2 linked regions of the Nothobranchius furzeri genome follow. The main gene of each other region encodes a partner of the protein of the gene in region 2 in a complex. Links are inferred from orthologs where the notes say so. Each region holds a gene or a part of one and is shown on either strand. Other genes may lie near its edges.

Evidence for each region. Proteins that work in one complex are often made in the same cells at the same time.
Region 1: ecsit (region 2) and tmem186 share a complex: the UniProt entries of both Homo sapiens proteins name them as parts of the mitochondrial complex. The link is inferred for Nothobranchius furzeri from reciprocal best matches to the Homo sapiens genes ECSIT and TMEM186.

The regions. Positions count from the first base shown.
Region 1 is NC_091744.1:5,453,098-5,456,375, reverse strand, and holds tmem186 (transmembrane protein 186), read left to right. Parts: upstream 1-1,297; 5' UTR 1,298-1,560; coding exon 1,561-1,563; intron 1,564-1,842; coding exon 1,843-2,508; 3' UTR 2,509-2,654; downstream 2,655-3,278. Other genes in the region: gde1 (glycerophosphodiester phosphodiesterase 1), read right to left, coding at 576-845. UniProt on the Homo sapiens protein: As part of the MCIA complex, required for efficient assembly of the mitochondrial complex I.
Region 2 is NC_091743.1:88,487,345-88,491,719, reverse strand, and holds the start of ecsit (evolutionarily conserved signaling intermediate in Toll pathway, mitochondrial), read right to left. Parts: upstream 2,810-4,375; 5' UTR 2,694-2,809; intron 2,548-2,693; 5' UTR 2,522-2,547; coding exon 2,432-2,521; intron 1-2,431.

The sequences.
Region 1 (3,278 bases), on a different chromosome or scaffold from region 2:
GACGTGTGTCGTACACACTTTGGTTTAGTTCATTTGAAAATAAGCACGTTTAGATTTCAATCTCCTTAAATGGTTAGATAGTGCAAATGTAACCTGGGAGAGCTGTATCACACTGTGTGTGTGTGTGTGAGTGTGTGTAAATTGTGTGGGTGCAGCACTGGGCCGATTGGGGGAAGCTCAAGTCATCGTCACTACCTTCATACATGTTGGTTTGGTGAAGACAATTCAACTTCCCCCTGGATTTGAACTGGTCTCCCTGCCCTGTTTTGTAGGCACAACCTGCACAGACCGAGCTTTTATTTGGACTTTTAGCTTTTGCAATCTTTAATAAATTATCTATTTTTGAAGCGATCCGATTCTGTGCTTCATTGCCCACATTAATGCTGGTTGGTCAGACTCACTTCATGTAACATCTTGGGGGCTGATCTGCGGGTGTTACACAAATGTGTATTAAAGTGGAGGTATTACATTTTTAATCAATGACTAACTAAATCTCGCCATTAGAAGAAACAGCCGCTCTAGGTCGTGTGAAGGTTAACGGTTTAACGTCTTCCCTCCCCAGTGTCCCTTCTCACCTCCCGTATGGCTGCTATTGTGTTCTCCGGTGCGTCGTGTCCTCCGCCCCGGTGAGCGATCACAGACACCTTACCGCTGCCCACTGCACGGGAGTCTGGATGCAACACCTGCCGGGCTCGGCTGGTCGTCACCTGCGGGAACCGAAACATGGCTAGAAAGAAGTAGAGGGAAGCGGTGAGGACAGCCGACCACACCGGACTCCGCGTCCCCAGCAGGACCACCACGAGGACAAGTGAGTAGAGGGTGACTTCATCTCCCAGCTGAAGCATTGTAGACGACTTCTTGGGTTCACGAGCGCAGATTTTCTTCAGTTTGACATTTTCTTTCCTGTTAAGCTATTTTTCTTGGTTAAAAACGCGATGTTTCACACACATCCATGCTCCGTGTTATATTCTGACAGCAGCTATTAAGTGGAGCATTAAACCACATCTAAGCCGGAGAAAGCTAGAAACTGCTAGGACGGTTGAGCCGCTGAACGACCAAACGGGAGGACAACATTTCAGGTGGCACGTCGTAACGGCTGTGACCGGATGTTACGTAAAACAGGCGCGACCTTTGTCAAAGTAAACCAATAAAACTAACTCGTTATTTCACGAATCACACATTCAATGACATTTATTCTTCTACACTAAAACAACTGTAAATCCCACTTTGCTGGAGAACATATCTCGGAGGCTTGAAATATATTTCATTAAGTGGGGAAAACATTTTTCGACGGACCGAAACACATCTCGGCGCATCCCCGGATGTGGTTCTAAATAGGTTCGCTACATGCCGTTTGCAGCTCTTATTCAGTGTGAACAATTTCATACATTTTTTAAATTAAAATGTATACTTTACTAATGTTTCTAATGTGAGGAGAGTAAACGAGATCTTTAGGAACACACGGTTGTAACATCCGGGTCACAAAGCTGGACGTCTTCATGCCAAAAGTGGACTTGGGACTATTTTTGACTTTACCTGTGAATTAACCAGTCGTTGGCCATGGTGAGCATCATAGTGAGACTATTAATATTACTGTTATTACAGTGTTATCAAATTCAAAGGAATTGGTGGATCAAATAGATCAAACAATCCTACCCGCGAAATGCCCTTGAGCTTGATTTGATTCAGCTAGGAGATTAATTTGACCTCATTCTGAATAAGGGTTAACAGTTTTAATGTAAAACAGATCGAGACTTTATTCTGCTGTTAATATTTGGCTCAATTAGGTGACTGCATATTGCCTGACTGAATGTCGTATTTAATGTTTTTTTTCCCCCACAGATCAGGTCGATGTTGCTGAGCAGATTAACCCACCACACCCTGTCCTGCACAAGAGGATCATGTTTACTCTCTGGACGAGTGTCTAATGGTTTACAGTCTCATTTTTCAGGTCATACACCCATCCATCAGACCTCCCATGGACCCCTCACTCCTAAAATCACAACCTCCGTCAGATACTCAGACCTATCCACGCAGAAATTCTCTATGATTTACACGCTGCCACACATTAAGCTTCTCAGAGTCGTGTCCAGGCTCAAACTGCTCCAAACTGCAATCACTGCGGTCATCATTCCACCCATGTATTTCCTTTACTTCCAGGGTGACGTGTCCTTCTTTCTAGTATGCTACTCTACGGGGATTGCACTGTTTGCTGGTGTCATGCTGTATACTATGAGTCACTTCTTTAGAAGGGTTGTGGGGATGATGTACCTGGATCCATCCCAGACCACACTCAAAGTTTCTCACCTCACTTTTTGGGGCAAGCGTCAAGACACCTACCTACCCGTGTCAGACGTTTTGACCATCTGGGACACAGGAGACATGGAGAATGAGACCATACTGAAACTGAAGAGATACAGTAGTCCAGAGACAATGTATTTTTCTACTTATTACGGACGCGTTGTTGACAAGCAGGGCTTTGAGAGAGTGTTTGGGAGGCTAAAATAATTCTTCATTCAAAATGTGATCAACTAAATCACTGCTTTCAAGTATTGTAATAAGATCCAACAAATATACAAAAATATCCTGTTTTGAAATAAATGATTCAATTTCAATGTTTTCATTTCTTGATTTAAATAAATGTGACTAATGAGTGTCTGACTCTAGCCTCTTTACCTGGCCAGGTGAGTCGGACAGGTAAATGTTTTGATGTGTTTAATATCTGATGGCTCTGCAGAGTGGATCTATTCCCTTTACTGTTGATCTTATTGGTCCATTAGAGGTCTGAATGTGGTCATAAAACCCCCCTGGAGTTTTAGAGGAATCCTGCAGTTGAGTTTTCTTCCAACCTGATCATCCTGCATGGAAATGTGACTATTGATAAATTTTATTTGGAAAATCTATAATTTTTTGGGTTTCTTAATAGAATTCTATATGTTACAGATAAAAAAACTAATATTGTGAAGCAGACTGATTATGGTCTCGTACACAAGTTATAAAAAATTTAAGTTGACAAATTACAAATATCAGAGACACTGCAGTGAGGCATTTTCAATTAAAACATTTTCAGCTATTTGTAACATACATCTTTAGACAAAAACATCTAATCAGTTCTTCCAATAAACATTCAAATAATTACAAGATAAAATCCATGCATTTGAGTTTCCTGTATAGGAAATTTTCTCCAAACTCATCAGAAACACTTTTCCATTGCAACTCAGTCAAAAAAATAAAGCAAAATTATGCTGCAGATTTAAAATGCACTGGTAATAAGCTTT
Region 2 (4,375 bases):
TGCTGTATGGGTTTAGACTGCTGGAGGACATACTGGGTTACCCTGGCTCATCCCTTTAGTTATGCTGTATGGGTTTAGACTGCTGGAGGACATACTGGGTAACCCTGGCTCATCCCTTTAGCTATGCTGTATGGGTTTAGGCTGCTGGAGGACATACTGAGTTACCCTGGCTCATCCCTTTAGTTATGCTGTATGGGTTTCGACTGCTGGAGGAAGTACTGGGTAACCCTGGCTCATCCCTTTAGTTATGCTGTATGGGTTTAGACTGCTGGAGGACATACTGAGTTACCCTGGCTCATCCCTTTAGTTATGCTGTATGGGTTTAGACTGCTGGAGGACATACTGAGTTACCCTGGCTCATCCCTTTAGTTATGCTGTATGGGTTTAGACTGCTGGAGGACATACTGGGTAACCCTGGCTCATCCCTTTAGCTATGCTGTATGGGTTTAGACTGCTGGAGGACATACTGAGTTACCCTGGCTCATCCCTTTAGTTATGCTGTATGGGTTTAGACTGCTGAAGGACATACTGAGTTACCCTGGCTCATCCCTTTAGTTATGCTGTATGGGTTTAGGCTGCTGGAGGACATACTGGGTAACCCTGGCTCATCCCTTTAGTTATGCTGTATGGGTTTAGACTGCTGGAGGACATACTGGGTAACCCTGGCTCATCCCTTTAGTTATGCTGTATGGGTTTAGACTGCTGGAGGACATACTGAGTTACCCTGGCTCATCCCTTTAGTTATGCTGTATGGGTTTAGGCTGCTGGAGGACATACTGGGTAACCCTGGCTCATCCCTTTAGTTATGCTGTATGGGTTTAGACTGCTGAAGGACATACTGAGTTACCCTGGCTCATCCCTTTAGTTATGCTGTATGGGTTTAGGCTGCTGGAGGACATACTGAGTTACCCTGGCTCATCCCTTTAGTTATGCTGTATGGGTTTAGACTGCTGGAGGACATACTGGGTAACCCTGGCTCATCCCTTTAGCTATGCTGTATGGGTTTAGACTGCTGGAGGACATACTGAGTTACCCTGGCTCATCCCTTTAGTTATGCTGTATGGGTTTAGGCTGCTGGAGGACATACTGAGTTACCCTGGCTCATCCCTTTAGTTATGCTGTATGGGTTTAGACTGCTGGAGGACATACTGGGTAACCCTGGCTCATCCCTTTAGTTATGCTGTATGGGTTTAGACTGCTGGAGGACATACTGGGTAACCCTGGCTCATCCCTTTAGTTATGCTGTATGGGTTTAGACTGCTGGAGGACATACTGGGTAACCCTGGCTCATCCCTTTAGTTATGCTGTATGGGTTTAGACTGCTGGAGGACATACTGGGTAACCCTGGCTCATCCCTTTAGTTATGCTGTATGGGTTTAGACTGCTGGAGGACATACTGAGTTACCCTGGCTCATCCCTTTAGTTATGCTGTATGGGTTTAGACTGCTGGAGGACATACTGAGTTACCCTGGCTCATCCCTTTAGTTATGCTGTATGGCTTTAGACTGCTGGAAATACTGGGTAACCCTGGCTCATCCCTTTAGCTATGCTGTATGGGTTTAGGCTGCTGGAGGACATACTGGGTAACCCTGGCTCATCCCTTTAGCTATGCTGTATGGGTTTAGGCTGCTGGAGGACATACTGGGTAACCCTGGCTCATCCCTTTAGTTATGCTGTATGGGTTTAGGCTGCTGGAGGACATACTGGGTAACCCTGGCTCATCCCTTTAGTTATGCTGTATGGGTTTAGGCTGCTGGAGGACATACTGGGTAACCCTGGCTCATCCCTTTAGTTATGCTGTATGGGTTTAGGCTGCTGGAGGACGTACTGAGTTACCCTGGCTCATCCCTTTAGTTATGCTGTATGGGTTTAGGCTGCTGGAGGATGTACTGGGTAACCCTGGCTCATCCCTTTAGTTATGCTGTATGGGTTTAGGCTGCTGGAGGATGTACTGGGTAACCCTGGCTCATCCCTTTAGCTATGCTGTATGGGTTTAGGCTGCTGGAGGACATACTGAGTTACCCTGGCTCATCCCTTTAGTTATGCTGTATGGGTTTAGATTGCTGGAGGATGTACTGGGTAACCCTGGCTCATCCCTTTAGTTATGCTGTATGGGTTTAGACTGCTGGAGGACATACTGGGTAACCCTGGCTCATCCCTTTAGTTATGCTGTATGGGTTTAGACTGCTGGAGGATGTACTGGGTAACCCTGGCTCATCCCTTTAGTTATGCTGTATGGGTTTAGGCTGCTGGAGGACATACTGGGTAACCCTGGCTCATCCCTTTAGTTATGCTGTATGGGTTTAGACTGCTGGAGGACAACATCTCACTCTGTTGACCTCGCATACTGAGGACACGCTAAAACCCGTAGGGGTTTGTTCCCGGGCCAGGTGTGCTCGTGTTTACGACACTGCCTGGTTAAAAAGCTCACCTGGTGCTGACGGTGGTTCTGGTTGGTCTGACCGGAGGCTGGTCTACCGGACCGGAGCAGCAGCGGCAGGAGGCTGCGGGAACACCTCATCGTTGCGCTTTCCGACTAGCTCACAGCTAACAGGACGAGACAACCAGGTGGGCACTTAGGTTTCAGGTAAAATGACATCATCGTTACATTTATGTATGCTGTAGCAGACAGCTAGTGTCGCGCGCTGCCTGAACCGGATGTTCCTCTAACAACAGCAGGCTGAAAAACTCACTGTGAATTCAGTCTCCTTCAAAACTCGTCTCTGTGCTCGCCTCCATGTTAGAAAGCCGCGAGAACGTCCTGTTTCTACACCGAAATACTTCCCCTTGAACAGCGGGAACATTTACCGAGATAATCGTTCCGCTTGGCTTTTTTTTTTTCTTCTGACTCATTTTCGTCTAAAACTCAAGTATTTAATATGAAAATAAAAATGTGCTGCGGAGGCTAATTCATAACAAAAACTATTAAAACTGTAATCATGAAAGGCTAAAATAAAGACTGGTTTTACAGCATCACAAAAGGAATACGTGTTTTTATCATTTAAAGGAGCGACTGTTAGGAATCAGAACAAGCACACCACACAGACTACAGATTATTCATGAAAAACTGACAAGACAACATCAGTGTAGGGGCGACGGTGGCACAGGAGTTAGGTGCTCACCCGTAACCGGAAGGTTGCAGGTTCAAGCCCCGCTCAGTTTGTTGCTGCTGTTGTGTCCTTGGGCAAGACACTCAACTCACCTGCTGCTGTTGCTGGTGGTGGTCGGAGGGACCGGTGGCGCCTGTGCTCAGCAGCCTCACCTCTGTCAGCGTGCCCCAGGGCAGCTGTAGCTCATCACCACCAGGGTGTGAATGTGTGTGTGTGAATGGGTGAATGACTGATTGTGTTGTAAAGCGCCTTGGGGGGTTCCATCACTGTAGAAGGTGCTATATCAAACACAGGCCGTTTATGATTTAAAGACTATGACCTCTGGTTTCCTCCCACCTACCAAAAACATGCATGTTAGGTCAGAGTTGTTGTTTGTCTGTGTCGTGTGTGTGTCCCTGTGACGGAACAGAGACTTCTAGAATGGAAGATCCATTAACTCAAAGACAACAGCAGTCACAGTCAGTTTTATTGTCAATTCTACCACATGTGCAAGACATACAGAGAAATGAAATTGAGTTTTAGTACACACAATTCAGAGATCAGACATACATGGGCAAGACACATGACAAGAATTAGTGACTGTGGTCATTCGCAACACGAGTCGTGCTACCTTAAAAGATGAAAAGGGAATTACATGAGGATAAATTGGGGGAGGGGAAAAAAGGCACACCAGAGTTACTCCCGGCAGGGCGTAGCTTTACTATGCAAAAAAAAAAAAAACGCCTCAAACATATAAGCACGAACATCACAGTTCACAACATGAGACTCCGATGGGGGGGGGGGGGGGGCTGGGATCCTGTTTCCCCAGGGCGAGCAGCCCTGTGTGGCGCTCAGCCAGCTGTATCCACAGGAGGGAGGGAGATCTTGGAGAAGCGCAGAGCACATTTGAGTTCCTGCAGGTTGATGACCTCACTAGAAGTCCACAATCTGAAGGGGGGGGGGGGGGACGGGTTTTCACAACATCTGTTTGCATTCCTTCCTTCATGGGGGTTGTTGTCAGCAGCTCAAGGCTGCCTTGGCGTCAGATTTGGATAACAAGACTTTGTTTGGGTCAGGCTGAGATAATTTTCCTCTCTGCCTTGAAGTCTGTATTGATCATTCAAGTCCTCCAGTTAAGCCAGTTCAGGTTTTAATCATCCCCACACCGTCCGGTGACCCTCTCTGAGATAACATCCATTTTGTGCACTAATACCGGTAACGCAGCAAGGACATTGTCCAGCTTACGATTCACCTCGAGTAACGTCCCAGTCTGTGAGGTCACCGCC